Lepisosteus oculatus: one gene and its partners. The protein of the gene in region 3 purifies or fractionates together with the protein of the main gene of each other region. This does not show direct contact. Links are inferred from orthologs where the notes say so. Each region holds a gene or a part of one and is shown on either strand. Other genes may lie near its edges.

Region 1 (8,049 bases), on a different chromosome or scaffold from region 3:
ATGCAGAGCTGGCTGTGCAGAGCATGCTGGGACAGTACTACAAAGCATGCATGAAAGTGGCTTCATGAGGAATAATGACAGCCAAGAAACAGGTGCCTTTGATTGACATTTGGCTCAGGCTGCATGTCGGTGCAGTGATTAGCATTGCTGCCTTGCAGCTCTGAGGTCCTAGGTCCTGTTCCAGACCTGATAGCACCTGTTTCAGACAGGTGCTATCTGTGTGGAGCTTGTATGTTGTTCATGTGGGTTTCTGCTCCGGGTTTCCTCCCACAGTCCACAGACATAGTGGTAATTTAATTGGCCCTTAATTGGTAGGTCAATTTCTACACAAATTGCACAGGTGTGTGTGTATTTTTATGTCTGTGTGTGCCCTATCCCTGTGATGGACCGGCCCCCTTCAAGGATGTACCCCGTCTTGTGCCTTTTGCTTCCTGGGATAGGCTCCAGCTCTGCTGCGGCCCTGAATGTGACAGAACAATTAGGACAGAAATTTGTCTTGGCCCCCCAGCCACAGGAAAAGGATGCTGGGACCCCCCCGGGAGAGAGATGAATGTGAAAAGTGGGGTCTGCTTATGATATATACAACTTTCAAGAACTGATGTTGAGAATGATTATGATTTAGAACAGCTGTGGCACAGAGTGTTGCCTTTCCTCCCATAGTTCAGTTAAGAACTCTCATTTATTAATCTTCTCTTCATCTAGTAAATAGGACATCTAAAATTGGACCTTCCAAGTCAGGACAAGCTATACAACTGCAAAGAAATGGGAGAGGAGGAATGGGCTGGCAAGTATTTCAACCAATCACCTTGTGAGTTCGATTAAGGATTCAATTAAGTAATTAAGCTTGTTTGGCATGAAAGTGAGCAGGTGTATGTAATTTATATCAGTCCTTTGAGAGCTTACAGCTGTGAAGATACAATTGTTTGGGCAGTGATCAGCACTCCAGGTCCTGAAGTGTCAAAAAAAATGTTTTTTCATTATACCTCAGCTCTTAATGGCTTGAGAAAAAATAGATTGCATAAAATAAATGAGATGTGTAATGATTCGTTAACATGAATAGGGCTTTCAAAACTTGCCAAGTCACAAATATATATACACATTTAAAAAGCCAAGTGTTTTCACGTGAAAATAAAACGTGCGTTCGTGTAATTAGCTGTTAGCGTGATCCACTCGTGTCTTAGACTGTGGGAGGCACTGGGAAATACAGTGGGCTGTCAGTGGGTCACGTAAACATGACCCAGTCCTCCCTTCTCATTTAATTTATATTAAAAGCAACATCGTTCAACATGACCTGCAACTTTCTAATTCCAATAGTTGGGCCGGATATAAGGAATCAGGTAGTGTACAGCTTCGTCATCTCTAGAAAACTGAAAAAATAAGAGGCGTGTGATTGTGTAAGACTTCTGTGTATGAAATAAGCATTGGTGTGCGGCGCATAAAGAATTTGGAAGAACAAGCATAAAAAAAAGACTTCAGTGGTTAAAAAATGGACTCGGTGCGCTGGAATATTTTTTGTTTTTCTTCTTCACAAGCGGGAGCTTTATGCACCATAACATATACCTGTAAAGGTCTAAAACTTAAGGCGATGATAGGTTATAGTGCCACGGTCAGGTTTACAAAACCAGGTCAACAAATGTTCGCGTTACAGCCAGTCTGGTGTAAGTCTTTATATTATTTAACCGTAGTCTATACAGCAAACCTGGCCTTTATTTTTAACGTCTCGCTAATATGAGTGTTGCATGTGGTTACTTATAATATTAAACAGGATAATACACAGGGTTACCTTGCAATAATGGCCTAGAATCCCCGGACTAGAGTAGAGATTTGTTACCCCACCCCGCGATACCGACTTCGCTTGAGAAAACACGCGTCCCCCGGTAAATGAAAAACACTGCTGCAAACAAGGGAACAGTGACACGCCTCGCGTTTATTTTTAATGTTCCGGTAATTAAAACCCGTCATCGAGTGTTATATTCATATGTAAGAGATATGAATCGAGACCAAGCTTAACACTGAAAAGGTGGAACACAAATTGAAAGTTTCGGTCAAAGTACAGTAATATTTTAATAACCGTTTCCTCTTTCGATGTAAAATTAACTAAACTCTGAAAACGAACGCAAAGGGTCTCTTCCATAATCTGGGACTATGGACTATGGAAAATAACTTATTTACTTATCGTGTAGATAATGGTTTTCCCACACAGAAAACATCCGATGGATGAGTTGAATGAGTTAACATACAGCAGTAAAAGCGGCTCAAATGGACCTTTAAAATATTTTAATTTGTGTCTACACCACAAAATGAGAGTGCAAATGTCTCCTCGCATCTAATAGGAGTTAATGTATAAAAACGCACGTTAGTCTGCGGTTCCAGAAGCTACTTAAATATGATCGAAGCCACTAAAGTTAACACTGTCACTTACACTTTGTTACGTAATGGTCTATTTTGTATGGGCTACACATCTAGCCGAGCCAAAACACTTTTAAGAAGGTTTGGATAAAAAAATGCACCGTTTCTTAAAGCATAGAAGCGGATCGAAAAACAAACTGCAATTATTTTTTGCATAAAATCCCTTCCCCCCCTTAGTGACTCACCTTTCCATGACCAGTTAGCGAAGAGAGAGACACTACTGATTACAAACTGTACCAGAGCGCAAACAACACTTCTCTGGACGCTACAGTACTTTAAGCAGTATAAAAAAAAGCGATCAGCCCTGTAGTTTTGTCATCCTGTTGCATAACCAACTGACAGTCACAAACACGTAAAAAAGACATCAGCGATGATGCATAGCGCTTACTATACTACATTAGAGTAATATTTCCACAGCAATGCTGTGGAATCGGTATTCATATTTTTCGTTTTTCATGCACCAAACTAAAACAGAAAAAACTCCAGTAATTAATTAGCTCACAAGCAAGTATTGCTTTGTTGATTAAGTATTCGCAGGCTCTTCTGACACCATCTGTGTTCTGCTACTGTAAGCTGTTTATCGCGGCTCGCAAAGCAAGCGTGTCTATGATGATAACATGCTTTAGTCACCGAGAACAAAAAGCCCGATACATCAGGAAAAACATTCAAATCGCAAACCGCGTTAAAAGACGCCTTCGCTCGATACAGGCGGTGGTTACTTACAGAAATCTTTTGTAGCACAAGACGTACATTTCTATCGCTGCTCAGTGTTTGCCGTGAATTTAGAGGAAAAAAGGGGGGGGCGGGCAAGAAGGGGGGGTTGAGGGAAGACGTAACTCACCATGACTAAGCATTGTACGGACCTTCTCGCTGTGCCAAAATAAGAGCCCCACCGCTAACAACTGGGGCTACCTCATGTTGGCAGAAAGGGAGAGAGACTCTTACGGAAGAGGACCAGGAAAATAATACAGAAGGAAAGGGGAAATATAGAAATGCCCTCAGCCCTGGCACTCAGCCTAGCCTGGTCCAGATTACATGAATGCAGTGCGCTATACAACTGTTCAGATCTGTCTTTGGTTGGAGAGAATAACAGCCCCTTTATGGATCAGTCATCCGTGATCGTGTGCCAAACATCTCTACCTTCCACCACGTAGTGACTGCATACGCTTTCGTTACTCTGTATTTTGTTTTTAATTCTGTGCTGCCATTATTGTATACCTGCGTCAAAACAGGAACTCCCCTTGAAGTAATTTATTGCCATTCGTATGCTGTGCCCAGCAGATGCCGTCATCGATTTGTCTTATTCAAATGGCAAAACTAACACTTTATTAAAAATACAGTGTATATATTGCTGACAGGGAGTGTTGTATTTGTCTAAGTGCGTACTGTACGTGTGACAGTTGCGGTTTTAAGACGCAAAACAGAAGATAATATTACACCAGCGGTTTTGAATGATCAATTGCGAATTACTGTCTATTCTTCTGTCTTCCGCAGTTGATCTTAGCTCGCGATCATTTAATCGAACCCCAGATTTTAGTTTCTTATCAATTGGACCTTTTTGGATTGTTTTCAGTCCTGGATATGTCAGATTTTTTTTTCATCACAAAATCTGCGAGTAACTTGAAAACATTGTCTTTGCAGGAGAAGAAAATGTCGAATATTGCTTATATTGCTGTGATGTGAGATCAGTTAAGCGATTGAAGACCAGCAGGTATTGGGTAGGGTGACACGTGACCAGAGCCGTGGACCACTGCTTTCGAGCACGCGTGTCCACTCATGGTCCTGGAAGGCTACTGAGTTTGCAGTTTTCCTGTTACTGTTCTTGTGTTGTAACTGGTGTTTTGTTTACTTTGACCGTTAAGCACTTTGAGAAGATTCTTTTAGGGCTCTATATAGGTTTATTATTATTTCATGCCCTGGAGTGCTGGATGCATCTGGGTGACACACAGTAATAATTATTAGTAATAATTGCTTACGCTTACATAGTACTTTTCTGGACACTCCACCCAAAGCGCTTTACAGGTAATGGGGATCCCCTCCACCACCACCACTGCACAGCCCCACCTGGATGATGCAACGGCAGGCATACAGCTATCAGTGGGGAGGAGAACAGAGTAATGAAGCCAGTTCATAGATGGGGATTATTAGGAGGCCATGATTGGTAAAAGCCAAGGGGAAATTCGGCCAGGATGCCAGGGTAACACCCCTACTCTTTTCGAGAAACACCCTGGGACTCTTATTGACCACAGAGAGTCAGGACCCCGGTTTTATGTCTCATCCGAAGGACAGCGCCTTTTTACAGTATAGTGTCCCTGTCACTATAGTGGGGCATTAGGACCGACATAGACTGCAGAGTGAGCGCCCCCTGCTGGCCCCACTAACACCTTAGTCATTATGTCCCAGCAGCCACGCAGCACAAATCAAATTAAGCTAGAGCTAGAATGAAGCTCTATAGATCAGGGGTCCCCAGTCCTGGTCCAGGGCACCCCCATACCTGCTGGTTTCTGTTCCACCTGCACACTCAATCAAAGTGTGCAGGTGGCTTAATAGACCCAATTATACGTTTAATTTGAACACTTCCATTGTTTTCTGTTCATAAACATGTTGTAAGTTGCCTTTCAGCTATTCTGTTTTGTAAGTAACTTAAGATCCACCTTTAGTCAGAAAAAAAAACCCATGCCAAGCAATTGGTTCAAATCGGGGTTGACCTGTGAGGGTCCCCAAGACTAAGACTGGGAATCCCCGCTAAAGACACAGTGGTCCCCCTGGGTTTGAGACTGGACTCCTCTGCTTTAGAGCTAAGGCTGTGACATGCTGACACAGGGGTGGGCATAATCTTCAGTGATGCAGCCCGTTCCTGGCAAGGATTCTGGGATTGCCAAGGGCTCAGACATATGAAGTGACACACGCTTGCATTTAAGCGTCTTTTAAAAATGGCCTCCAGAATGCAATTTTTTTTTTTTTGGAAGACGGTCTGATCACGTTAAATAATGTGTGGGTCCGGAGAATTAGAGAGAGGAATTCCGGGATGTACAGAAGCTTTAACTGAATCGTTGATTGATTTCATTCATTTTCATAACAGTCTGCTATTGAAGGGTTGTAGTTATAATAATAATTGCTCACACTTATATAGCGCTTTTCTGGGCACTCCACTCAAAGCGCTTTACAGGTAATGGGGACTCCCCTCCACCACCACCGATGTGCAGCATCCACCTGTTCACCATATAACCTGCAGGGCAGTGACTGCAGAGGAGGTACAGACCAGGCCAGATCAGAACAGACCCTGTCTTGTCAGTAGTGGAGTGTGTAGGAATAGGTAACGCTGTGTGGAAAATCTCCCTTTTGAGTTACTTACACTTATATAGCACTTTCTGGACCCTCCACTCCAAGCACGTTTTAGGTAATGGGGACCATAGCGCACCGGTACACTCACCACACACCAGCTATCATTGGGGAGGAGAGCAGAGTGATGAAGCCAGTTCATAGATGGGGATTATTAGGAGGCCATGATTGGTAAAGGCCAATGGGAATTTTGGCCAGGACACCAAGATAACACCCCTACTCTTCTCGAGAAACACCCTGGGACCACAGAGAGTCAGGACCTCGGTTTGCGTCTCATCCAAAGGACAGTGCCTTTCTACAGTATAGTGTCCCCATCACTATACTAGGGCATCAGGACCCACATATCCGGGATAGCCAGCAGAGGAATCCTACTCCGTTGGGCTCCTGAGCAAGACCCTTAACCCAAGCTGCTCCAGGGGCACCGTACAAATGGCTGACCCTGCGCTCTGACCCCAACCTTCTCTCCCTGTCTGTGTGTCTCATGTAGAGCAAGTTGGGTATGCGAAAAGATAAATTCCTAATGCAAGAAATTGTATATGGCCAATAAAGTGACCTTATAGACCACAGGGTGAGCGCCCCCTACTGCCCCCCCTAACACCTCTTTCAGGAACAACCTTAGCTTTCCCAGGAGTCTGCCATCCGGGTGCTGACCAGGCTCACACCTGCTGAGTTTCAGTGGGTTGCAGGGTGATATGGCTGCTGGCGAGTTGAAACAGGAATGTATCGGGCCTTTGGGATTTTGTGTTATGGAGTCCCAGATTCAGGATCCAGTATCTGTCCTAAATCTCTGGTCTGTGGGAAGGTAGCCTCTGGCCTGTTCCTGGATAAAAACAATCATGAGTGAAACGTGACTGGAATTATCTCTTTGACTTCCAGGGTCGATGTTACCTATGGTAAGCCTCCATAGGAGTACAGACAGTATTTATACATGGCCATCAGGCTTTCTTACCTGTTGCTCCGCGTCTACGCCAACGCTTCCTGCAAATTTATGTATCTTACTAAAAACGGCTGGTTTTAAAAAGAGTCGCCTGCAATTCTAGCGTCTACTTGTAGAAAAAAGGATGCCCACAAGGCGTCACTAGTGCGCCATGTGTTTCCGTTTATGAAATGTCTACAAATGTTTTTTTTTTTAATTTGCAAGAACCGTTCAATCGTTTTGAGTTTAATGACACGATCTACAATTCACAATCACAAAGACCGCTTCCTATGACAGGCTGACCTGTTATAGAGTGATTTTTCCAGCTTGTCCTCAAGAAATGTCATTTGCCGTGTTTTGCGTAGGGTAAGAGGGTGGCGGGGTGGTGCAGAGGTTAGCACTGCTGCCTCCCGGCACTACAGCCCTGGGGTCTTGGGTTCAATTCTGGACCTGGGGTGCTGTCTGTGTGGAATTTGAATGTTCTCCCCCATTCACGTGGGTGTCCTGAAGGCGCTCCAGTAGGTTAATTGGCTTCAGGGAAGATTGGTCCTGGTGTGAGTGTGTGTCTGTGTCTGTGTGTGCCCTGCGATGGACTGCTGTCCCAGTCTGGGGTGTATCCCGCCTTGTGCCTCTTGCTTCCCAGGACAGGCGCTGGGCCACCTTAACCCTGAGTTGGATGAAATGGTTAGAAAATGGGTGGGTGAATGGGGAAAGAACATGGACAACTGGAGATTTTGAAAGCGGCCTGGAAGTCTGGGGTTGCGATAGGAGGGGCCAACAGTTGTGATATTTGAGGTTTGTTTTAAAGTCATGTGTTGCCCATTTGTGTAATGAGTCGTCTTTGCTACACCTCCCTCTCCTGCTGCCCATTCTGAGGGCCCACCATAACTTAGTTCGTGGGTTTGGTCTTGGACTACCTAGGCTTGATTTATCCAGGTGAATCCCTTATACATCTGGCAATTTGTAAACAGAACCTGGACCCAGAGAGCTATATAGCTCAGGTGAACTGTGCGATTAAAATCTCGAGCTTCAGGAGCGGAGCCTTTCACGTCTGCGTCTTTGCTGTGTAATCAAGCAATATGCTGGTGATGGAAGAGTTGACATTTAGGCTGTATTTGAATGGCTGCCCTGATCTGCCTCGGGCCATTTCATGCCTAGGTAATGGGCATGCCCAGTTAAAACTCTTCTCATTTCACTCCAGCAACAAGGCAACGGCCTGTCCTTGCTTTGCATAACCCACATTAAGGCTTGTGAGGTTTGCACATCCACCTCTTGTCTTGGCAGTGCGAAAACATGCCCTGCAGTTCAGCTGTCTTTTTGTTTTCTCAAAGATTCATCAAAGCTGCTCCGCGTAGACTTTTTGGAACATAATTATACAACTA
Region 2 (8,570 bases), on a different chromosome or scaffold from region 3:
TTGCAGACTATAATCGATTGCAGAGCACATAAAAAACTGTACTACATCCACCTATCCATTTTTAATAACTACTTTGTCCAGTACAGCATCACAGTGAGCCAAAGCCTAACCCAGGGTGAATAGCAGGATCAGCTTTGGAAAGGACGCAAGTTCACCACAGGGAACACACATGCATTTAACTTAGAGAGGCCACACAACCTAGACGGCATGTCTGTGAACTGTGGAAGGAAATTGGAGCTCCTGGAGAAAGTCCATGTGGCTAGAACATGCAAACTCCCTGTGGAAGGTGCTGCAGACTAGAATCAAACTTTGCACCCAAGACTTGTGAGGCAGTTAGCAGTGTTGCTTAACCACCAAGTTGCTACAGTACATAGGTTCATTTTGCTTTAAAGTGCAGCTTTAATTGTTGAAAGGTTCTGCCTGCCTTTTCTTCTCCACTGATGATCATTTAGTATGTCCAATAAAAAAAATGATGTTATTTAATTACTTAACAGGTTTAACATTAAGTGCACGTGCACAATGAAAGACTTTACGATAAATTGTGCCGAACGAAAAATACAACTTTGACCTAAGAGATTCCTGTTTTGGTTTCAGTTCAAATTCCACAAAACCAACATTTCTACGGACAAGTGTCATTAAAGACCAGCTTAAACGTTAACAGAAAGCCACCTTAACTCGGATACCTTGGGAAGGAAAGTAATTAACTGTCTCTTCAACACCTGATTTAATTATATATTTCTGAACTACATATTCTTTTTGTTTCTCTTTATTCCCACGTACTGTATGAAGGGTTTTTTCTACAGCATGTAATGTAGCAGATGATATACAGAAAATGTCAGAAGTCAGCAATATATCCAAGCTGGAATAAGAAAATTTGAATTTTCTTATTGAATTGTATTCTTTCGTGATCTCAGTAAAAATCACAAAAAAATGACTAACTAAAACTGTCAAAAGGGGATCCGAACAAGACTGGAAACAAAGAACATCTTTATTGGGCGCAAAGGCTACAGTTATTTTTCACAGGAGATGCCGGGGACTATTCTACGAATATTTATACTTAGTCCATTAACAAATTGTTAGAAAATTTAATTCAAATAAAAAGCTAGCAAAAGACAAATAACTGTTGGTTGAAAAAAACGAGTACCTAAGCATGCTCCTAAGGCGAAAGGAACCGTTCTGCTAATGAAAGGAAACATGTTAATAGTTTACCTTTTATATTACTTTTCCTATACTTTGTGCAAAACAATGGTACGTTGTCCATAATTAATAAAATAAACCATTCAAATTGAGGGTGTGCTAATACGTAAAAAGGCCACAAAAACACACTTACAAAAAATGAAAACCTTTATCTTACAGTAAATGTCAATTAAATGCTGGAATTTAATACCTCAATACTATATAAAGCAACAACAACATAAATAACAACATATTTTTTCTGCATTTTCTAAAGTACCCGCCGTCTAAAATAGTCATAATTTTACTTTTGTGTCGTAGCATAATTGGAGTCATGTTGAGCATTTTTTATGTTTCTGAAAAGTTTTAAAATCCTCAGTCGCAAATCTTCCACAATTTCTCACAGGTATTCGTCACAGACGAATGTGTTAACTTTTAGCAAATTAAGTATATCCCCCCAAAAATAATAAGCTGTAGTAATTAATAAGCTGAAAAAAACTAAAGAATAAATGACAAAATATTTTGGTCACATTTTAATTTTATACACAAACGACACAGTTAGACACTGTTTTATAAACCTAAGGTGTTACCAGAAGATGACATTTTCTTTATGATAATTTATTTATGAAGTTTTCATACACCAGGGCATCCTATGTAATCCATTATACAGTCATATTTCAGTGAATTAAAAAAATGTTCATGTATTTGCATTATATCCACAGTATATAGAAGTTTTGATTTAATGCCACTTTACTAATACATTAATTGCGTCAAAAGCGAGTGGAATGTTTCAAGGTGGTGCGATGTTAATGCACGTACTGTGTCCAACACTTGCTCAACTTTGTTTTAATGAGCATGTCAATCTTGGCTTATAAAATGGGCTATTACAATTAAATGAGTACGTTATTAAATGAGCCTCCTGATATTGATTTGAACATTTAAACTAAATGTATCTCTTAAAATAAATAGTGGGTGTGTTAAGGACAAACACATTTCCAATAAAGAAATTAAATTGTATTCTATGACTCAAGGACGCCCTCTAACTCTCTTCCAATGAACTTTCCCGCAGGAACAAAAATGTCAACTTTCTTTTGTGTGAACTCTGCAAACCAAAGCAGTTTTACCGAAGCTTCGGAAAAGTGACTACATATCGCTTACCTATAGATACCAGCTTGATGTGTTCTCTGTCTAGGAATTCCAGTGCCACCGAGACATTTTCCAGTTTCATCTGCCTGAAGTTGGGTCTGGAGTGGTATTTTCTGTACATTTTCTTTTGACTTAAAACCTCCAGCAGACCGATAAGTTTCAGCCCATCGCTGAGATCTTTCTGTAGATCGTTGATCCTTTTGTTGACACATTTCAGATGCTCGTTGCACCACCTGGTGAAGGTGTTCTGCTGGATTTTCTTCCAGGGTGCATCCTCCGCCAGGTCCTTTTCCGTGGCGGGCATCTCCTCCTGCTCTTCCCCGTTGTTGGTGCCCTGGTAGTACTGAGGCTGCTGCTCGTAGTAAGTATTATTGCTCATCATGGTTTCGGTCTCCGTGACCCCTTTTTATACCGCAATCAATGAGGCCAGTGTGAAATCTACTGCACGCAGGGGAGAAACAGGAAAAAAAAAAGTTTGGCAGGGCAGTGCCAGGCGCGCGCGCTCTGAAAAGTTCCAAAAACTAGTTTTTTTTTTTCAGAGCTACTTGTTAAAATGGTTGGGCTTGTCAAACCAAGCAGAACTGTCAGCAGAATGATAAATTAAGGAATCCGGTTTTCGTTTGGAAGGCAGGCAGTCCCCCTTTTTAATTGGCAATATTGTGAGAAATGTGTTAGCTAGTTCTTAATAGACACTATAGATTAGAGCAGGAGTATATTAAAAAGAAGAAGAAGAAGAAGAAGAAAGCTGCTCCTGGCGAGGAGTATTAAGAAATCAGCAGAGCTGCGTTAAGAGAAGCTTGTTAACTTGTGTGACTAAATGGAGGAACAGACAGGACAGGGGTTTAAAAAGATCTGAGACCCCTTTACAACGTCAGAGGGAAGGATTCTCCGGAATGTCTCTGCCATGACCATATACAACTAAAGGATGGGTATTTTTCTAATCCTACGGAGATAATAATATGTAACAGGATTGGACACTAAGGATAGCAGGGGCAATGATTGGCTAGCCCCCATGTGCCGCCGCGGTAGTGACAACTAACTTTATTTTTAGCCGCTCCAAATCAGGATTTCGGGGGCTGGCTGGAGTTTTTTGGGTTGTGACAGTGTGTAAGTGAGTGGGTGGTCATCAAAGGTTTATAATTGAGCTAGGAAAGGAAAATGACGGCTAGGTACACTGCGAAACCTACTGCATTTAATGTTACAGGTTGTGTTTGATCATATATCATGTATTTTGCGTAGGGCTCGACGTCTACTTAACTGTGCTCACAAGTCTACATTACAAGGTCGTTTATTATTAGTGTCTCTCTGCGGAGTAAGTCACATAAATTAAGACGAGTAGATACCCAGCAGCTGAGTTGGACTCATATTCTATTCTTGACTACGGGAAGGATAACACAGGAGAGACCACTTCTCAATAGGTTGTCTCGACCTCCCTTTCTTTTTAACATTAGGTATGAGGTCATACCTCGTCTTTAGAGCAGGGTTTCTCCAATTATTAACCTCTGACGTTAGCACAATACATAGGCCCGCAACTATGTGTCGCCTCATAGTGAAAAATTTCTCTTTAATAAACAAAGATGGGATCTGACAACTTTTACTGGTGAATTACTACTGTTGTATGTTCTTTCACTTGATGTCTCGGCAATTTCTAAAGAGAAAGGTCATGAGATTTTTATTGAGCGTGAGTAAGAACCACAAAAAAAATTCTTACTATGAAAGACATAAAACTTTTCTAGCAAGGATGTATAATACATTTCAAATGGTGTACTCCTGATACAGCCTGTGTAATTATTAGAACATTTGAAAGGCATGCCTGTGAAAGCATACAGCATCATAGTTTAAGTAACGCGAGAGCCTGAATCAAATGGTGGATTTACGAATCGTGTTAGAATATACTTATTTTAATTCGCTCATTACTACAATATTAGCATTTGTTTATTTCGGGTGGGAAAAAATTTATTACAAAACAAGATAACTTTAGATATTGGAATTGAACTTTGAAAATATAACTTAACAAGCTTGAAATCGAATGTGAGTCCTACACATTGTTTACCAGTAACATCTGATTTAACGGATAACACTTGTTCTATAGGTCTATAAACTTGATCTTCACACGAGGAAAAGGATACTCATACAACATGAGGACTTATCGATCCCTTGTGTTCTTAACCACGACCTACTGTATATTTTTTATTCAAACGTTAGACGGGAAATAGAGTATTTCACACTTTTAAAATACTTTACGATTTCTACATTTAACGGTTCTGAACAGTAATAAGGAATTGCCTTTTGATCTATTCTTTTGTGAAAGCCATGCTGTGTGTAACTTAAAATCTGTACGTAAAAATAAAAACAGCGTTGCTGCATTTTGGAAAAAATAACAATCCGTATAAGTTCAAGTAGGGCGTTTGAAGTCGCTGTAAAGAAACAAGTAAAGGTTAATTCCACGCTGAAAAGGAGAAAGAAACAACGTATCAGCTACGATATATTTGTAAATAAAGCCAATCAAATGTTACATTTTGTCTAAATAAATAAAAATGCAAAGCTAAACAGCAACAGACATAGGTTTCCCTTCTAGTTCCTTCTGGACCCCTGTCTGGGACCCTCTGTACAGCAGATGACTGTTGTTAAACCTATTAGAGTAAAAAAAAATAAACAACAAAACCTCCTTAACAGCAAAACAGACAATGGCGTTTGTTCACAGCCTGCCTAAACACTGAATAACCTTTTATCCCAAGTCACTGTACCAATCGCGATGGCAATAATAAGGTTGTATGCTCAACAATATAATGAAACAATATGGTTCTAGAAGGATACTTGCAGGTTTGGTATTAAAGATCATCTTCCGCTACTACTGAATTTTATGGAAATAAAATTAAGTAATTCCAATAAACCGGTATAAATGTATATTGCATGAAATCCTGAGAACATACCCCTTAGAACTCTGTAGGATCCTTGCAGGATTGTTATGAATGGCATACTCTCTGGGGAAATGATTCTTGTGAATGGAGATCCATAAGGATGTGTTTTATCACCAGTGTAGTTTTTGATCCACACAAATTAAATGCAGAGCAATGATGATGTTTTTAACTTGTTTAAATACGCTGACAACATGGCCTTGTTTGACCTTCTGCAGGGAAGTGAAAGGCCAGACCAAACACTCTTCTATGACAAAGTATTAATTCTTATTAACTGGTGCCAGTTTATTTAGGAAATAAACATCTTGAGCACAAACTAATTAGTACTACAATCAAGGAGGTTTGAGCCAGCTACACAGCTGATGCATAAAAATGGTCAGCTTGTGGAGATTGCTCCCTGTTTTAAATATCTGAGTACATACAGTATATTGATAATAAGCTAAAGTTCCTAGACAACACAGAGTACGTTTATAAAAAGTCATGAAGAAATTATATCTCTTGAGAAGGCTGAGGCGCTTGTATGTACAAATAGACATCCTAGAGTTGGCCTACACTAGTCTGGCAGAGAGCATGCTCTCTTTTAACATCTCCACTAGGACTGAACCCTGGACAATAATTTTAGTGCCAAGGATAGGGCCAAGATCTCAAGGACTATAAACATGGGCAGCAACATTAACCAAGTGGGTCTAGCCACACCTACTGGATCTCACCAAATCAAACCAAACATTCACAAAGCATATACAGGTAATGCTTGGATGTAGTTGTCCCTAATTAACTGAAACCTACTGATCTTGGTGAGAGTTGTGGCAAGCTATAGGAGTGGGACACCAGTCCATTCCAGATCCACAAAGGAAATAATTGAGGGCATTTTGAAAGAATTCTGAAAGAATGACAGAGCATGAGTAGTCTCAGAAAAAGACTTTACTGCAGTCAATCCAGAATGTCTCTGGAGGCTGCGAGGAATCTGGGGCACCTGGAGGAAATCCACACATACAGAGAGAGAACATGGAAACTCCACAAATAAGGAAGCCTAGGGGCCAGAATCAAATCCAGAAGACTGGAGCTGCAAGGCAGCAGTGCTAACAGCCACACTTACTGTGCATGCTGCCCACTTGGGGATCTCAATCAGTAGTAAATATCAGATATGAAACCAAACCCAGAAAGACTCTGTATCCTGCCTCCCGACCCCATGGCTGAGTGATCTCACCCAGCTATTCACTTTGTCATAGGAACCACAGGATCCTGTTGGGAATGGAAACATATGACCCCTTACAGATGTCATACCCAATTACTGTGATGTGGGTAAACTGCAAACAGGCTACAGTAATAGGAATTTCTCAGACTGCAGCAGATGAGGGCTAGGATCCAAAGGATCCAGGATTCAAACCTTCAAAATTAATGACCTTTAAAAAAATCAGCTTTGTTTAAAATAATCCTGAAACAATTATTCCGGCAATGCTGCATTTCTTATTTCTGGAACATTCCTGATGTGAGGGTTACCTGGATAGATTATTGTGAAAGCCAATAATCAGCTTTTATTCTACAATCCGTATTCGATTTAAGGATTTTGATCAAAATAAGAAATCTAAAACAATTTTATTAAAATATAAAGAAATATAAAGCAATTTTCACACCCAAAGAAGGCTCCACAGCTAAAACGTTGTGTTTTCTTTATTCTCTTTTCAGCATGGAATAAGGTGTTCACCTATTACTTGTTCAATTTTATTTATTGTATTTACTATTAATATCAAAGCATAAAAAGTAAGAAAAAAAGCATAAACTGGCAGTGCTTCAGCTACAGTATCTAGACAGGATTTGGAATACTGCAGAACAATATGGTTGGGTGGGTTCATTATAATGTCAGATTCACTTATTACGGCAAAGTATTTCAGCAGTCATGCACATCTTAGGCCCCTTCATTGGATAGCGTAAGAACACTAGGTTTTGTCTCAGTTTTTCTTGCTTTAAAGAAACTCATCATGCTTTAAAAGCTAACTGAGCATCTGGCACTGCATCTCACTGACACTAATTAATTTGCTATCAAGACATTGCACAGCAAATCTTGATTCCATATCAGTCATTCTAAGAACTAATCCAATGATATTCAGTCAATTTATTTCAAATTTTTATACCTGATTCTGCCTGTATCAGCTAAATAAACATATATAATTGTGATTATTTCACATTGGGATTCATTATAAAATCTGTTATATGATTTAACAGTTATAAATTGGCATAAAATGTAAATGTACTGTAATCTGTATCTCTCATAATTTTAGTTTCTGCCCACTGCCTTGTCTTCAGTCATAAAAAAAAACGTTTTAGATACATCTCTGTCCTTTTCTCTTCCATAACAATATGCTATACTTTTTATACCCTCACTGACATAAAGCTACTGCAGAGATTTAAGTAAGGCATGATGATGTTCGCCATTCATATCCATTCAATTTTTATTTTATCAGCTGTCCTCAGTTAAGTGTAACTTGTGTGAGCACACATCCAAATTAGTCAAAATCCAACTTGTATTGATCGTGGCTCATTGAACTCACTTATTTGAGAAACAGACTCCTGTAGAGAATACTTAAAAACTTGTCTAAGAACCTATGACATTTAGCACAACTACTATATATAACAAGCATTTGTTATATGTAAGCAGTAAATGATATACAGAAGTACTGGTGCAAGGAAACTATTGCTCATCATTCCTCATTTATATCCTTGACTTACTATCTTTCTTGGTATCTGTGCAGAGATGACCATATACTCCTTGAAAACATGTCAAAGGCTATACTGAGAAAGTCTTCTGACATCTATAGAGTCTTATCAGCAAATTTCTTTTTTGCTAGGAACACAGGACAGCTAGATCTGTGTTCACCAATGAAACTCAAGAACTTGCACATAAGAAATGTTGAAACACTTTATGACAGTATTTAGTAGGTACTGTAGTTTACTGCAGGTCTGCTTTGCATACGTCCAGTTGTATAACTAACCTCACAAGATTAAGTTAGATTTAAATTTTTATGTATTTAGATGGACTGAGACTATGAACATTATTCTAATTGAAATATTGTCTAATTAACTATATAAGTGTAATGCATATTTCCCATATTCACATCTGTATAGAGCCTTGCACTATTCTGACACATATTTAAATGACACTGCCAAAGCCAAGATTTCTGAAATCCTGTTATTTATTTATCCATCTGTTCATTTTCTAACTGCTTAATAAAATTCAATGTAGCAGGAGAGCTGGAGCCAATCTTTGCCAGCAACAGGCGCAAGGCAGGATACTCCCTGGACAAGACGCCAGTCCATCACAGGGCAGACACAGAC
Region 3 (7,935 bases):
GCACAGTCACGAGATCAATGATAAAAGCAATGTAATATACATTTATATTTGAATTATTTAATGTATTAACAGGAAATTGATTATATTAGGACAAAACAATATTTTGTTTACACCCCAGTGATTTCAAGTATCCACACTGTAAGTCTTCGGCTGCAGTCACTTTAAGTACACTTCAGAATGTAATCGTGAATAGATGGTTACATACCCCTTTTATACCATAACTGCGTGAACTGTGATACCCACTGAGCTCACCATCTCATTGAGATGCTTTGAACTGGTGCCTACTCTTGGAGTTTACCGACTTCAGTCTATTCTTTAGTGTGTGAAATGATGCTCAATGGCACTTAAATCTGGAGGTTTACATGACCAGTCTTCGATTTTCCATCTTTTTGTAATGGTGAACTCCTTTACTTGTACAGTATCTGCTACTTGTTTTGTCATGCTACTCGTTTTAAAGCACTGCTCAATAATTATGGAAGCACTTTCTTTTACTGAAGCAGGCAATGGCAGTGTCAGTAGTCATTGTTTTGTTGCATCACCAGTACAGACAAGTGAGCCAGTTACACTGCTGGTGTTAAGTGGTGTTGGCAGACCAACAGGTGACACTGTCTCAAGAAACTTTAGGATTAAACACATGATTGCAAATTCAAGGAAAGTCAATTTACCAGTTTCAGACACATAAATAAAACAAAACTTTAACTACACAACTATAATTGACTGCATGAGTCAGTACTCTGAAGAAAATTAAAAATCGCGTAGGCAGGGGCAGAAGAAAACTTAATTCTGAATGTTAATTTTCTCTGCTTGAAAGAAAAAGAGTAGTTATTGTTTTGATGCATCATCAATACAGAGAAGTCAGCCAGTTCCAGAAGCAGCCACGCTGACTTCAATGGCAGTGGAACAGACTACTTCCTTGATCAAGTGACAAATCTGCAGCACCAGTCGTCACAAACAACAAAACCTCAAATTATTATTTTAAGGAAACAAATACGCTATTAACAAACACCATTAGCAACCCAGACACATTGGTGAACCTTTAAATATACTTTTTAAAGTGCACATGACTTTAAATTGCACATGGTGTGGTCTTTCCACAACCTTTGAAGATTGATAACAATATCCTGTTTAATGGACTAAGGGGCACTAGTCATGTAGTAATAATACACGACATTGAAAGATTTTGTTTTAGGATGTGAACTAAATTAGACTGTTTGAAGTACGCCTCATCCATTTCCCCTAACCACATTCTTACATGTCCTTGCAAACATTTTGCTTGCTAGACTACAAGAAAATGTCTTAATAATCATTACTTTACCCTTTTGGTCTCAGCAGTGACGAGCACAGTTTTACCTCGAGTAAAGTACAGGTGACTTCTGACAGCTCCTTCACTCTTGGCAGTTCAATGACATCGGTCTGTGTGGAGGCGTCTCTTCCAAAGTAACCGTATCTCAGTTGATTTCCCAATGAGTACCTTTAAACGCGTGTTGTTAATGAAAAAATAAATACATTAATGTGACAGTTAACACATCTTACAATGTTTGGTGTTTGGAGTAGTGGTCAGGGGAGGGTCAGTGGTCCAGCTCGTAACTGGAAGGTTGACATCCCATTTGACACACTGGTGTTGGACCGAGATATTTCACCTGAGACTCTCCAGCAGAATATCCAGTTATAATAATTATTATAATAATAATAATAATTTCTTACACTTATATAGCGCTTTTCTGGACACTCAAAGCGCTTTACAGGTAATGGGGATCCCCTCCACCACCACCAGTGTGCAGCTCCACCTGGATGATGCGACGGCAGCCATAGTGCGCCAGAACGCTCCCCACACACCAGCTCTCAGTGGGGAGGAGAGCAGAGTGATGAAGTCAATTCATAGATGGGGATTATTAGGAGGCCATGATTAGTAAGGGCCAATGGGAAACTTGCCAGGACACCGGGGTAACGCCCCTACTCTTTTCGAGAAACACCCTGGAATTTTTAAAGACCACAGAGAGTCAGGACCTCGGTTTTACGTCTCATCCGAACGATGGTGCCTGTTTACAGTATAGTGTCCCCATCACTGGGGCATTAGGACCCACATGGACCACAGGGTGAGCACCCCCTGCTGGCCCCACTAACACCTCTTCCAGCAGCAGCCTTAGTTTTTCCCAGGAGGTCTCCCATCCAGGTACTGACCAGGCTCACACCTGCTGAGCTTCAGTGGGCTGCCAGGTGTAAGTTGCAGGGTGATATCTACAACTATCCTACAAAGTTAAAGCCTACACGTTATAAACCTGATGCGATATGTAACCTATCACAGCTATGATACTTGTAGTGCATGGAACAAAAAAATAATCATTTGTATTGCATGTAGGTTTAATATTATTTAAAATATTCTGTTATTAATGTAAAAACCAAATAAAAAATAATCTGAACTGAACCCGAAGGCACAACATCACTTTGCGAGGCGGTAGGGGGGGGTTGTTTTTATTTTAACCCGACTGCCGGCAGAAATAGCGCGGACAACAGAAAAAAAAAGACTGAAACCCATCAAAACCCATTCAGTACCAAAGATTTATACCTCTCGATATCCCGAAGTTCTGAGGAATACAGTCTCTCCTCCTGCTCCTCGGAGTTTCCCTGCACAAGCACGTCCATGTTACCGGCGTGATCGACACGGGGGCGCCGCTTGCGTCGGTTTCCATAGCGACGGATCTCGCCCGCTCGGCGGTCAAGACCCGGATAGAGTTGAAGGAAGCGATGGGCACGGACAGTTTGCCTTATTTCCTTCAGGATTATTATCGGTATAAACACAAGTTTCAAGCTGCTGTTTGTAAAAAAAAACCCCACACCGTCATGTAGTCAGATCAGATCGCTGTACGCTGACCATTTACGTTTGTGCAAAGCCGGTGGTGTTAAGGGAGGAAAGGCGCAGTGTGCTCTTTGACACACTTTCTCATTCGGGCTCCCATTTGGGACTGAAACGGAAAAACCTCTGAGAATAAATGCTTATTTGAAATGCATTAAGGAATAAGGAATACAAATGAACGCGTAAAAAGTTATATAAAAAATAATAAAAACCGTAACATCACTATACTGTACTTGATAGGGATCCCTATGAATAAAAGGGATTTCAGAAATGGGGCAGTCTAGTCAAAAGTGCTAGAAGGTTGTTTGAATAATTCAGTAATAATGAAGCATTTACAATAGGGAATAAAAACCCATCCTTCACAATACAAATGGTATAATATACTCTATTGTTCAGCAGAACTGTGGTGACAGTTTTAAAATGTTTTCTACTTCTGCGCTGCTTCCTTTGTCTAACGAACTCCTGTGAATTTAGAGCATTTTCATAATTAAAATGATAACAACGATTCGACTGACAAAGTGGGTGAAGTTGCTGGCGTTGTTACCTCACAGCCCAGGGCTGCCTGGGGTGCAGTTTGTGGGGAGTCTGTATGTTCTGCCTGTGTGGGTTTTCGCCGGGCGCTCCGTTTTCCTCCCACACTCATGGGGGAACTCGACCCTGCTGTGGGTGTGTGTGTATCTGTGTTTGTGTGTGTGTGCCCTGCAATCGGCTGGCCCAGGCACTGGCGTCACGCCCAGGGTGTTTTATCGCCTTGCGCCCTTTGCTTGCTGAGATCCTAAATTGGATGGAAACGTTAGCAAATTGATGGGTGGACTTAACGAGGTCTTCCCAAAATCCAGCGTGACACCAGTCTTTATTTTGCAAATGCAAAATGAAGCATACTGACTGCAGATGGGCAAGGCATACAGTACCATCCAGCCGACAAGCGCAAGGCTATGGTTTTCGGAAAGTGTTTTACATCACTTGGTACATTCGAAACAAAAAAAAAAGGAAAACTGTCAACATAAAGAACTGCAAAGGGCTGTGTTATAAGGCAATACAGGACCGCACTGTAGTCCTTAGTTTGATCATGACGTGAGCAGATGCTGAATGTCTTCCCTCTGAGACACCCATGAGAAATAATGCGTCACATCCCGTCGCCCATCATCTTCTATAGACGTGTGGATGCACATGCCGTTCAGAGCGAAGATGGCCCATCGGTGACGGCAGTGTCTTTTAAAGCGCGGCTTTAGCCAAAAGGTTGTGGAAACACTACGCGCATTACTATGGCCATGCTCACTACTTCACAAGGGGGGAACGCCCACCCCCGTCAGCGTGGGATATTTTGCCAAAAGGCTGGTGTCAGTCTCTGCGCGCTTCCCCTCCGTGAAGCCCGCAAGCCGGCGTAAATAAAAATAAAAAATAAAAGCCAATAAGATCGCGGTAGAGGCGGAACTTCCTGATTTCCTCCCCCCCCAACACCACCTCCCTTGAGGTCAGCGCAGTGTGTTTAGTAACTTACGCGTAATGGTTTTCCGTCAGTGCTGGCGAGGGTCTGGCATTCCAGCGCACTGACGCCACAGGCTTTAGGGGGGTAAACAGAGCTCCAGCCGAGCGCAGTCCCCAAAGTGTCCCGTGACACATCAAATAGTTCCCATTCCAGCTGCACAGTCAGCAGCCGGGGCAGGCGCCCGGGGGGACTCTGTTATAAGAGGATATGAAGAGAGCCGGGGTCCGGTTACATTGTTCCGGGCTATAATTAGCGGAGCTCAGCGCTGACGCAAGATGGCTAAAGTTGGATCTTCTGTGTGTGACAGCGGGAATTAGGATCAGGAGCGCCGCAGGAATAACTTCACGGCCCGGACTGCGATGAGTGATGACACTGGCTATTTTTGAGCGGCGGGATCATCGCGTGTGGCTACCTGGGACCTCGGCGTTTCATATATAAAGGGTGCGCGGTTGGGAAAAAAATGCAGCTCTACAGCAGCGCGTTGACACATTACCCCGGGTCGTCCTGCAAAGTTTCGATTCCCATTGCAAATATTGACGGTAACGCGCCAGCGACTGCGACTGCAAACACCGTTGCCGCGAGTAACGCTGATTATCAAATTCCTGCACACGGAGTGGAGGAGACGGGGGCTACGACTGCGCCTGCCGCGAAGATGCCTGCCTTTTCCTGTTATGAACCAGTTCCCAGCTCGGCGAGCAAGCCGAGCTACTACACTTCCACCGCTCAGATCCTGGTTACCAAGCCCGGTGGGGTGGAGAGGTTCGTGCCAGTCCAGATTATGAAGGACTCCCGACGTGGCGCAGTAGACCTCTCCGGAACATACTTCGCTAGTCCGGCAAGCTCGCCGGTTCTGGACGCGAAGGGCTCCTGCTCGCCCAGCGCCCTGTGGCTGGGGGACTTAATCGACACGATGAACGGCGAACTGGGCGCGCTGGACGAATACCAGAAGGTCCTGGAGCACAACATGATCAGCTTCGACAGGAAAGCGGACGGAAAGCGTTTCACGAAGGGCAGCGCCCTGAGTGGTCTGGACCACGAGTGGCACCAGAGCGCCTGCTCTCCGGGCGAGGGTCCCCACGACGCCGAGGCGCCCGACACGCTTTTGAACGACAGGGTGTCAAACGCCTGCGAGGATTTGGCGTCTCCAGAAGCTCGGCTTGTTGGCCGGCGTTGCCAGGAGAGCACGGAGCCCGCTGGCACAGACCTTGCCGGGGAAGCGCCAGGCGACAGCCTCCTTCAGCCCTCCGCCCCCGGCGTGGGGGGCAGCCGAGGTGAGAAGAACGAGCAGGTGGCACACTATCTCGCCGAGGTGGAGAAGCAGAACAAGTATCTCCAGGAGAGGGAAAAGTACAGGTTCCACGTCATACCCGACGGGAACTGCCTGTACAGGGCTGTGAGCAAAGCAGTGTACGGCAACCAGTCGGCGCACAAAGAGCTGCGGGAGCAGACGATGCACCACATCGCGGATCACCTGGACGAGTTCTGCCCCATCATCGAAGGCGACGTGGGCGAGTTCTTGATCAACGCCGCCCAGGACGGCGCCTGGGCTGGGTATCCGGAGCTGCTCGCCATGGGCCAGATGCTGAACATCAACATCCACCTCACTACCGGGGGCAGCGTGGAGAGCCCCACCGTGTCCACCATGGTCCACTACCTGGGCGACGAGGACCCCTCTAGGCCGAGCATCTGGCTAAGCTGGCTCAGCAACGGACACTACGACGCCTTATTTGACCGGCCCCTACCCAACCCGGAGTACGAGAGCTGGAGCAGGCAGGCGCAGGTCCAGAGGAAACGGGACGAAGAACTGGCCAAGTCTATGGCGGCGTCTCTGTCCAAAATGTACATCGAGCAGAATGGATCTACGTGACCTGCTCTTAGGGTTCCGAGATGGCGTACCGTACAATTGTGCGTTCTGTCCGAAACCGAAATGTATGTTTCTGAAATAGGGCACCTTAATCACAGTTTGATGGCACTTTAAAACGCATGCAACATGCCGTACAGAAATTGCCTTAATTTATTTTTTTCTAAACCGAATGTTTTTAATGCATTCACGTGGAGCTACTGAAGGTTGCGGTGCACCTGCGTGTTGTATAGATTTTTTTATCATTATTTTTGTATGGAAGTGCTGAATTTATATCCACAGGTCGGATTCCTTACGTTGTGCGTAGAGGTCGCAAAGAAAGAAGTTTACATTACTGTGTTACTAGTACCAGTCCAACTAGAGATAAAGCACAGGACTGAAGTTTGGGAAGAGAAAGAACAGTTTTTTGACAACTTATTTTTCAGGTGTGCGAAATTATATATGTGTACATTTATAAACTTTATACACTTAACCGCTGATTGGTAATTGCGTAATGAGTCTATTTAATTGCCTTTTTGTGTTTTGCTGGGTCGAACACTTGTTTTGCTGCAAGATCATTCTATTCCAGGCTGTTTGCTTGTCTTGAAAGCGCGGTATTTTGTATCGAAGATCTGAATCTTATTTTTTTAAATACTATTTTTTTTCTAAGTAGATTGCTGGATCGGAGACGTACCATTGTAAGACTGAAAGTTTTGTTTCGTGGTTGCATTATCATTTTGAAGTAAAGGTTTAATTTTTCTGGACGATTTAAGGTGTTTCGTTTTTACTATTTGTGCTGTTCATTTTGGGAGGATCGGTTTGTGATGTATTATTTTTAATGATAATAATGGCGGTAGGAGCACTTTCGACACCACCAACGTGAAAGCTGACAGGAATAATGCCAAGGTCATTACAATGTTGTGAAATATTACGAATGAGGTAAAACCAACTATTCCCACACAAGAGAAAATTCCAAATCTTCCACTTACTGATAAATGTCGGTATTGCCAAATATCAGGCTGTGTGGACAAAGCCTACTGTTTTCCAGACGTTGACTTTTATCAGTACTATGTTTTAGTTTTAAAATAGTTATGCATTGCATTTATCAATGAGTGATTATATTGCACCCTGACCTGAATATTGTAACGCAACGGGGGCTCAGGCGGGCGCCCTTGCCGCATCTGGTCGGCCCAAAGTATAGGTGGCTCGAACCCGGGACTTCCGCGTCTCTCTGCAGCGACCCAGCCCCGTGAGCTAAAGAGAGATCTCTCCACAGCCCAGTCGCTGTAGTCCTGCTATCACAGGGAAGGGCGGTGACGTCACCCGCTCTGGTACGCCGGCTCTTACACACAGTGCTTGTCGGCCGTAAGCATTACAATATGAAATCTAAGAACAACCAGCACAAGTTGGTTACCTGTTTTTCTTCTTGCTTTTTTGGTATCATAAAATGAAATTATAATAATAATAACAATAGTTGCTTACACTTATATAGCGCTTTTCTGGACACTCCACTCAAAGCGCTTTACAGGTAATGGGGATCCCCTCCACCACCACCAATGTGCAGCATCCACCTTATTGGAGCCCCCCCTAATTTAACTTCACTTCTATGTTGTGTAGGAGAGAAGGAATGTTCTACATTCTTTTTATTACATGTTTTATTGCAGTAGCAAGTTGATGGTGGAAAAGCAGTTGACAGTTTAAAAAAAATAAAGCTATTACTGCTCTTAAATGTTACGTATAGGCTTATAGTTT
Region 4 (8,376 bases), on a different chromosome or scaffold from region 3:
TCTCAAAAAGTATTACAACTTAATATCACCTTTCAAACCCATAATATTTTCTTATGCTATAGTTAGCAAATAAACCCAATTGTGGGAACAGACATTTCGTCTTTAAACAAGAGATAACGTTAATTATTCCAAATTGTCACAGTTAATACTTCAGTGTAGTACTTCTCGGCAGTGAAAGCAAGACATCGAGGTTTCGAGATGAGATGGAAGGAATGTAACAAGGGGCATTTCTTTACAAGGAGAAGCTAGTAGTGATCTGGAACTAAGTTCCCAGAGACTTATTGATGAATCCGACACTCGGGAATTCTTTTAAAAAAGACGCCTGGAGGCTTGACAGCAACTTCAGCAACAGATGGTGCTGTATTGGCTCAAATCTTCGGATAATATTTTGTTACAAACTTGTGTTTCTCGGGGCAGCGCTCCAAATTAGTCTCGTTTAACTGTGTTGTTCTTTTGAAGGCATCCTATAACAAATACTAAAGCTAATAATTTTCACTGTGCATTGTCCAGTTTTGCAAATACTCCGGAAGTCCTGTCGCCTTGACAACAGCCAAACTCTACGTCAGATCACACTGCGGGCTATTCGTCTTTATGTCTCAGGACATTCTACCACAGTGTTGAAAGAGAATATGAGCAGTCCCGTTCAAACAACTGCCTAATCCTGCACAGAATTCCGCAGTGATATTGCATTTTCTCTGAATGTGATTTCCCAACATCCTGTATCCCCCGAATTTAAATATCTGGCAAAACCATTATGCGGATTTCTACACCCATACTTAACGCGAGTATTAGGAAAGTCTTGTTGCGCAGGAAACGTATTCAATATCCCTGGGCAAATTCCAATTAAACCAATAATTTAATGGTATGTATCATTACAATAGTATGGATTTATCGTTGGTACCGGTATATTAAGTACGCAGAACTGTGACGTACGTTAATGTAGTTCAACAACACGTTATGGCATAATTCAGCAAACAACAGTCGCGGAAGAGTTTGCTACTATCAGATCTATACTGAAACACAACTGTTGACCGAATAGCATCTAACATCTTTTTTATTGTATCACTTACTAGCCGACATAAAAACGCGTACAGTAGGTATACCGTGATAGTTTCTATCACAAACATGATTTTTTTTTATTTCTACCATAGCAAGTATATAATAACTACTAGCTAATGTGTCAGGAGTTTAAGAGTGATGTGTGCTGCCATGACATAGCCAACGGAAGCACAGTACTGTAGAAAAATATGGGGCATATCAGTAATGTTGAGCGATATCACACGTCTCGACCTGTAACCGTGTTATAGCTATGGCGCTGCAGTTTTCTGCATCGCGCTACCTCTCTCGACACACGGACCACACCCTTTTATTTTCAGTACGCGTTTCTTCTGCAGAAATTTTCACCAAATGCTCTTCTTAAGAATTTTAAAAATACACCCCACAAACAGTCAGTGACCCAGTTTTTGCAGCTTCAACCGCAAGGAAACGATACATATCCTGTCTTCGGCTCACAGAAATGAAACACACTGATTTGAGTTTACCAAAACATCTCATCCTGTAGTTTCGTTCTAACTGTGGCTGGCATGGCATGGGCGTGATGAGTTCTTTTAACAACTTTTATATTAACCATCGTTTCATGTTGACATACTGTTCTCTGCAACTTGGACACTGTTGTTTTCAAATTACACTGCACCTAGCCGTTGTCAGCCTACAATTAACTGAAAACATTTTATAGACGTGTTTCATATTGCGAACTTCAAATCATATCTCTACTCTTATCACTCATTTAATGCAAATTATTGTTTTTTTTATTTTTAAACTGCCCCACAGAACTTTATTTACTTATTAAACATCTGGAAAAATTGCACCAACCAACACAGTCAATTCACACAGTCCGCCCTGGAAAATTCAATAACATACACTATGAGCAGTTTTTTTTTTCTGAAAAAAGATAAATAACTGATACTTACTTGCATATGGTGCACTAATGCACAGAATTTAATCTAGAGGAATGGGGGGTGTAGTTTGTGTACTAACCATGCCTGAAACGATCTGACACACAAACAATATAAAACAGTCAGGAATATATAACAAAAACGGCCAAAAGTCTACATTAAGACTGAAATGGTAATAAAAAGCCACAAACATTCAAAGTATAACGTTCATTCTTTTTTATAAAATATTCCTTGATTTCATGTTGAAAAACGGTTGTTACCACTAGTGGGCGCCACCGTCAACATCCAATATTCCCGATTAGCAGAAGCAGATACATAAACTTTTTCATAGTTTCCCTTATTTGGTGAAGAGATTTTAATTAGATTACATGACTGATGCATTAAAATCATGTTATGCGCGGAGGATACAAGACACCTGTAAATGCACTCCACTTCAACAGCAACTAATAATAATGACATTACGACCAGATAAACAATTGTGCACATGGAATATTTTAATACATCTATATTGCAACCTACGGTGCAATTGATATGGCAATGCACCATATCATGCAAATTTGTATAAGCGCACTGTCATTTGTAGCTGACATTTTTCTATTTAGCTTTCATGAGCACATTTAATCGTCATAAAACAAAGATTGCACACAAAGCATCAGCTTTTCACAAATCAACTGCTTCCAAAACTCCAAAGATAAAAATCAAATAAGGAATAATTACTCTTTACAAACAACGACAAATCACAACACCAGATTAATAAGACCCTACAATTTAAAATATAAGCCCTTCCATTTTGACCCATATAACTATTTGATTGTTTTGGCAATTTATCAATCAGTCCCATATAATTACTCATAAACAGATTTCTGACAATGGCAGAACGTAAAAGAATTGCTAATCATTAGACTTGTGATGCGCCGTTACTTACGATAGCCGCTGTAAGACGTAAGACAAGCAGTTCCCAAAATGTGAATTTAAAATTAAAGCGCAACGTTGACAAGCCCGCTACTAAATATGTGGTTAAAAGCTGCAAAACTTACTCTTTTTAGCTTTGTATTCGATTGGTTCAGCGACCGGAGGCACACCGAACAATCTCTTTCAGGTTTGCGTTAAAAGTTGCTCTGTGTTATAGCACGAAATGTTCTTCCCTCCCCAAGTGCTTCTCTTGGGGAAATGAGTTCGTATTCCTCGACAGACGGGAGAACAGAAGTGACACCCTCTCGTTAACTCTCTCCCTCTCTCTCTCTCGCTCTCTCTCCCCTTTGCGTCCTATTTAAAATCCTTAATTGGTAAAATATCAAATGTGAACAGGGCTTTTTGAGTGTGTGTGTTCTGCAAAGCTGACGCGTGAGTGGAACCCCGCCTTTGGATTTTAAAGGTATGATGTCACCCCGTTCGGCTCTCATATACAACTTTAAATCCATTCTAGCCCTGTGGGATGTCAGAAAGCATTGTGTGAGTGTTTTACTGCATTAAAGAAGGGCACTCCTTGGTCAACTTGAACTCCCTCTCTCTAGCTTAGAAGTGAGCTCAGGCATTTGGTCATCCGCCACGTAGGTGTTGCAAGAGCATGCAGAATTGCAGACTGCCCCGGGGTGAGAGAGTATGTTAGAGACGTTTGTGGGCTGAAGTTTGTATACTGCATCGAGTTTGAGTAGCTCATGTTGGAATAAAATGTGTGTGGGGGGGGGGGGAAGACAGACAGAAAGAAAAAACTCTTTGAAGAAAGATACTTTAGAAATTAAGAGAAATGGTGGCATAGTGGCAAAGTGGTTAGCATTACTTCTTTGCAGTGCTGGTGCCCTGGGTTTAATTCCAGACCTGAGGTGCTATCTGTGTGGAGTTTGTATGTTCTTCCCGTGTTCATGTGGGGTTTTACTCCGTGTTCTGGTTTCCTCCCACAGTCCAGTGGTGTGTGTTTGTGTCTGTCTATGTGTGCCCTGCAATTGGACTGATGTCCAGTTCAAGATGTATACCTGCCTTTTACCCATTGCTTGTCAGAAAAGACACCTGCTCCCTTGTGACCCTGAACTGGATGAAACAGTTAGAACTTGGTATTTTTTGGATGGCTGGATTAAGGGAAATTTTAGGTGAGAATCCTAATTAGTCATAGACATATCTCCCTGCAACCCACTGAAGCTCAGCAGGTGTGAGCCTGGTCAGTACCTGGATGGGAGACCTCCTGGGAAAGCTAAGGTTGCTGCTGGAAGAGGTGTTAGTGGGGCCAGCAGGGGGCGCTTACCCTGTGGTCTATGTGGGTCCTAATGCCCCTGTATAGTGACAGGGACACTACACTATAAAAAGGCGCCGTCGTTGAGCCAAGACGTTAAACCGAGGTCCTGGCTCTCGGTGGTCATTAAAAATCCCATGGTGTTTCTCAAAAAGATTAGGGGTGTAACCCCGGTGTCCTGGCCAAATTTCCCATTGGCCCTTACCAATCATGGCCCTCCTAATAATCCCCATCTGTGAATTGGCTTCATTACTCTGCTCTCCTCCCCACTAATAGCTGATGTGTGGTGAGTGTTCTGGTGCACTATGGCTGCCGTCGCATCATCCAGGTGGGGCTGCACACTGGTGGTGGTGGAGGGGAGTCCCCATTACCTGTAAAGCGCTTTGAGTGGTGTGGCCAGAAAAGCGCTATGTAAGTGTAAGCAATTATTCATTATTATCATTCATTGTGGCTGCATACAGTACACACTCTAACACCGAAAGGTGTTCCTCGTTCAACAGGTGAGTAGTTTTGCAATGCACTATGGGTCGCAGATCTGTGGGAGTCAGTGGAATCCTCTCTTTCAAAGGGCCAGGACAGTCTGCAACTCAGATTAAGTGACAGCAGAGAATCCGAAGTATCTCTGTAAAGTAATGCAGGAGCTAGCTTGTGTACCATTCTGTTGCGGTTGTATGCAACACAATATTACTGACCCTGAGCAACAGACATGTCTGTTTTCTGACTGCAGGGGAAAGGAGATCTGCACAGGAAGCATGACTGTCAGAGCGAAAGGAGGCAGAATGAGGTTCTGTTACACCAACTCTACTGCTAACCAACCTGCTGCCGCCAAAATATTTGTATGGTGACAGTACCCACTCCTTCCAGACATAGTGCATAGGACCTTTTTACTGTATGTACATGCCAGTTGATTAAAATATAAAAAATAAGAAAGTTAGGACATGATTATCCATAACACTTTTCTGCTTCATTGTCTGGAATATTCTGTAAATTGATTTACCGTTCCTGCCTTATGTTGTGGCACAGTGTTTTTTTCCGGCACTCAACTAAAAAACTTTCTCATCAAATTGATCTCCCCTTTAGTCCTCATACTCTGGGAATACTCTGTCACACAACACTATACTTCAAAGCTTGGCTACATCAAATTACAAGGTGTACTTAAGTATGACTTGCCAATGTTACTTAAATTAACTTTAAGAGAAAAAAAATGTTACCTGCAGAAATTCATTTACTTTATTTTTTTAGTTTAGTTTGTTTATCACATTTTAAATCAATAAGCATTATGATTCCGGAATACCTTAAAATATATACAGTAAGTTGACCTTGACAGCCTGATGTTAACCAAAATGTCAAACAATGCAAATTTCTGCAACTTTGCTTAGATAGTCACATCATGTCAGGCAACAATTATGGTATTATTTATTTCCCTGGGTGACAATTACATTTTTGTGCTGAAAACATGCACTACTGTATATAAAAATCAGTCAATCATATAGCAGTCTTAATGTTCATATCAATAGCCGACATCAATAACTGGTTGCATCTACTGCATAATATTATTTTTTAAAACAGTGTGAACATGGGAAAGGTGTATAGAATGAGCATTATTGTTCCATGGATAAATTATGAGCATGGATCATGGGATTTTATAAAAACACTAGAAATGAGTTGATGAAGAAACTGTATTAATAGTTATTCAATAGGTATGATTTTAATTATCAAAATAAAAATAACATGAAATATACAAGTGTACCCTGCTTGGGCAGTAAAGACTGTGTGGATGCTATTAGAATAACTGAATTAGTCTGTCTTTGAGAGCAACTCAACCAGCAGACTAGTCCAGAGACACCAGGGAACCGGCCGTGTGAGAGACAGACCATGTCCTGGAAAACAGGGTCACCATACCTACCCAGAACCATTACACTCATCTCATCCTCCTGCATAATACTTTTCAGACTGCATTGGATACAGAAGATATTCCAGGAAGAAATAAATAAAGAATCAGCTGAATGATTGTAGCTTTCCATATTCACGAAAATAATCGGTCTACTTGTCCATTCATGGGTAGTACATTGAGAAATTAAAATGTCATCTTCTGTGTACCAAAGAATGTCAGCGTTGGCTGCAGAGAGAGTGGAGGTGCTGATGTTTTGTTCACAGATTAACTCTGTTTAACCCTTCACAGATCTGACAGAAGATAATGCATAATGATGGAAGTGTGAAGATATAGAAGGAAATCTGTAAAACAAGATTTGTGTCAATGATACAAAGTTAAGCCAACAAATAATTTATTCCTGCATGCAAATCTGCAAGTGTCCATTTTTCAGCAGGATGTTGCAAAACCATAGACTAATAGAGTTATAATTTGAAGGAATCTCTGTCAAAGTCGTATAGTGACCATTATTTTCTCCTGTCTTGATACCAACAGAACTTTCACTTTCATTTAATCAACATGAGACAACTGTGAGTGACAAACATTTTCCAGCTAGCTGCAGTTGCACAGGAAGAGTGACAGAAAAGTGGGCAGCAGTGTGCTTTAAACAGACTTTAGACTACTTTAGTACTAAGGCTCTGACTTACCAGAATTAAGTGATTTTCTAAAAATGGATGGATATATAGGAATGATGTTATCCCAGTGGTTCTGATCACAATGTCCAGTTCATTCGTATTCTAAGAAATAGAATGCATTGTATTTTCTGTTGTGTTCAGGAAGTACCCCAAAATTTGTATGTGATTCACAGTAGTGAGATGGGTCGATAGCTCTTAAGATAATCTAATGGTTATTAGATTTCAGGATAGAAGTGAAAGCTTTTCTCCCGATCTTTGTGAGTCTGTTACATTCTGGTCAGTATTGAGAATATCTTATTGAACCGGGTGTCTCCCCAAGTACAAAAGGAAGGCATATAGAAAGTACAGGTGTTGAGGAATTCTCCATTTCTGTGCAGTGTATACTATGTAACTACATGGAATGTTACAATATTTATAAAAGAAGGTCAAAATGCTTGAAAGACCAGGCATTACAGGGTGCTTATGAATGTGCATTGAGGTCACAATAAAGAAAACACATACTGTATGATGGATAGCTATATGAAGATCAGAAGGGGCAAGGCTAGGATAAATATCTATGGTTCTAAAATAGCAGGTTAAAGTCAAAGAGATAGCAGAAGTCTCTTCAGTTTAGACTGAAACAAAGCAAAGGTAGGGTACACCCACAGGATTGTATGGAAAAATGCTGTATTACGTTTATATATTAGCCACAAACCTGCAAAAATATATTTTATTAAATTATTGCCATTTAATAAATCAAATGTCAATAATACTTCTGAATTGTGCCTTTCAATTTGTTTCATTACAATGAGTAAGTAAACTATATTAGGAACAAGTAAAAGGTTTATTCCATGCTGAAAAGAAAAGAAAGGAAAGGCAATGTTTTGGCTGTGGATTCTATTGTTTACATTATTTTATTATATTTATATTTCAGCATCAGCATCAGCATGTTGGGAAAGAGAAAAAATAAGGACTGGGAAACAAAGCAATTTACTAAATGTGCTCCAAAGCTCTAAATGAAAGGTACTGTATGCACATGGTGAATATAAATTGTATCACTATCAAATAGTTGGACCATAACTGAATTAAATAGAGATATTCATTTAAATAAAATGGTGTCCAAAAACCATTTTGAAATTTAAGTTTCATTTTCATTTCCTTCATAAATCATGCAGCACATATTTAAAATAATAAAATGAAAACCATACACAAAACAATGAGTCATAACAAAAAGATTTATTTTTCTTCCGTTTTTTTCATTATACAAAAATAATGCATTTAGGATTATAAATCAAGCTTATTTGAGATAATACAACTTAAAACACTAAGAACTGAGATAAAGCCATTAAGGTAGAAATAATTCAGTGAGTATTAGACATCAGATCTTGGATGGAAAATATTCAGTTTTTGAGTTTTCCTTTTAAGCGACAATAAGAAAGTCTCTGATCTAGTACTAGATTCGTTCTCTTTCTCTCACTCTGTGATGTGCAAGCCACACTCATCTGGGTTCTTCATGTGATACTGAGCTCCACACACACAAAAAAACTGGGTGTGGACCCTGGATTTTGCAGATACTTTTTACAAGTCATATTTTCATACGTAAATGCTGTGACAAACCTGATGTGTTGAACTTGTGGAAATTAACCCATG

Evidence for each region.
Region 1: the proteins of OTU domain-containing protein 1 (region 3) and keap1b purify together in Homo sapiens (affinity purification with western blotting; 3 studies listed by BioGRID, with this or other methods). This does not show direct contact. The link is inferred for Lepisosteus oculatus from reciprocal best matches to the Homo sapiens genes OTUD1 and KEAP1.
Region 2: the proteins of OTU domain-containing protein 1 (region 3) and flncb purify together in Homo sapiens (affinity purification with mass spectrometry; 3 studies listed by BioGRID and IntAct, with this or other methods). This does not show direct contact. The link is inferred for Lepisosteus oculatus from reciprocal best matches to the Homo sapiens genes OTUD1 and FLNC.
Region 4: the proteins of OTU domain-containing protein 1 (region 3) and flna purify together in Homo sapiens (affinity purification with mass spectrometry; 3 studies listed by BioGRID and IntAct, with this or other methods). This does not show direct contact. The link is inferred for Lepisosteus oculatus from reciprocal best matches to the Homo sapiens genes OTUD1 and FLNA.

The regions. Positions count from the first base shown.
Region 1 is NC_090706.1:16,416,268-16,424,316, reverse strand, and holds the start of keap1b (kelch-like ECH-associated protein 1B), read right to left. Parts: upstream 3,240-8,049; 5' UTR 3,133-3,239; intron 2,700-3,132; exon of another isoform or gene 2,595-2,699; intron 1,338-2,594; exon of another isoform or gene 1,294-1,337; intron 1-1,293. UniProt on the Homo sapiens protein: Substrate-specific adapter of a BCR (BTB-CUL3-RBX1) E3 ubiquitin ligase complex that regulates the response to oxidative stress by targeting NFE2L2/NRF2 for ubiquitination.
Region 2 is NC_090702.1:40,730,501-40,739,070, forward strand, and holds the start of flncb (filamin-C), read right to left. Parts: upstream 3,146-8,570; 5' UTR 2,702-3,145; coding exon 2,332-2,701; intron 1-2,331.
Region 3 is NC_090701.1:54,988,163-54,996,097, reverse strand, and holds the start of OTU domain-containing protein 1, read left to right. Parts: upstream 1-4,803; coding exon 4,804-6,210; 3' UTR 6,211-7,935. Other genes in the region: c6h10orf67 (uncharacterized protein C10orf67 homolog, mitochondrial), read right to left, coding at 1,351-1,471, 2,567-2,812, 4,356-4,477. UniProt on the Homo sapiens protein: Deubiquitinating enzyme that specifically hydrolyzes 'Lys-63'-linked polyubiquitin to monoubiquitin.
Region 4 is NC_090697.1:66,961,927-66,970,302, forward strand, and holds the start of flna (filamin-A), read right to left. Parts: upstream 3,231-8,376; 5' UTR 2,993-3,230; intron 1-2,992. UniProt on the Homo sapiens protein: Promotes orthogonal branching of actin filaments and links actin filaments to membrane glycoproteins. Anchors various transmembrane proteins to the actin cytoskeleton and serves as a scaffold for a wide range of cytoplasmic signaling proteins.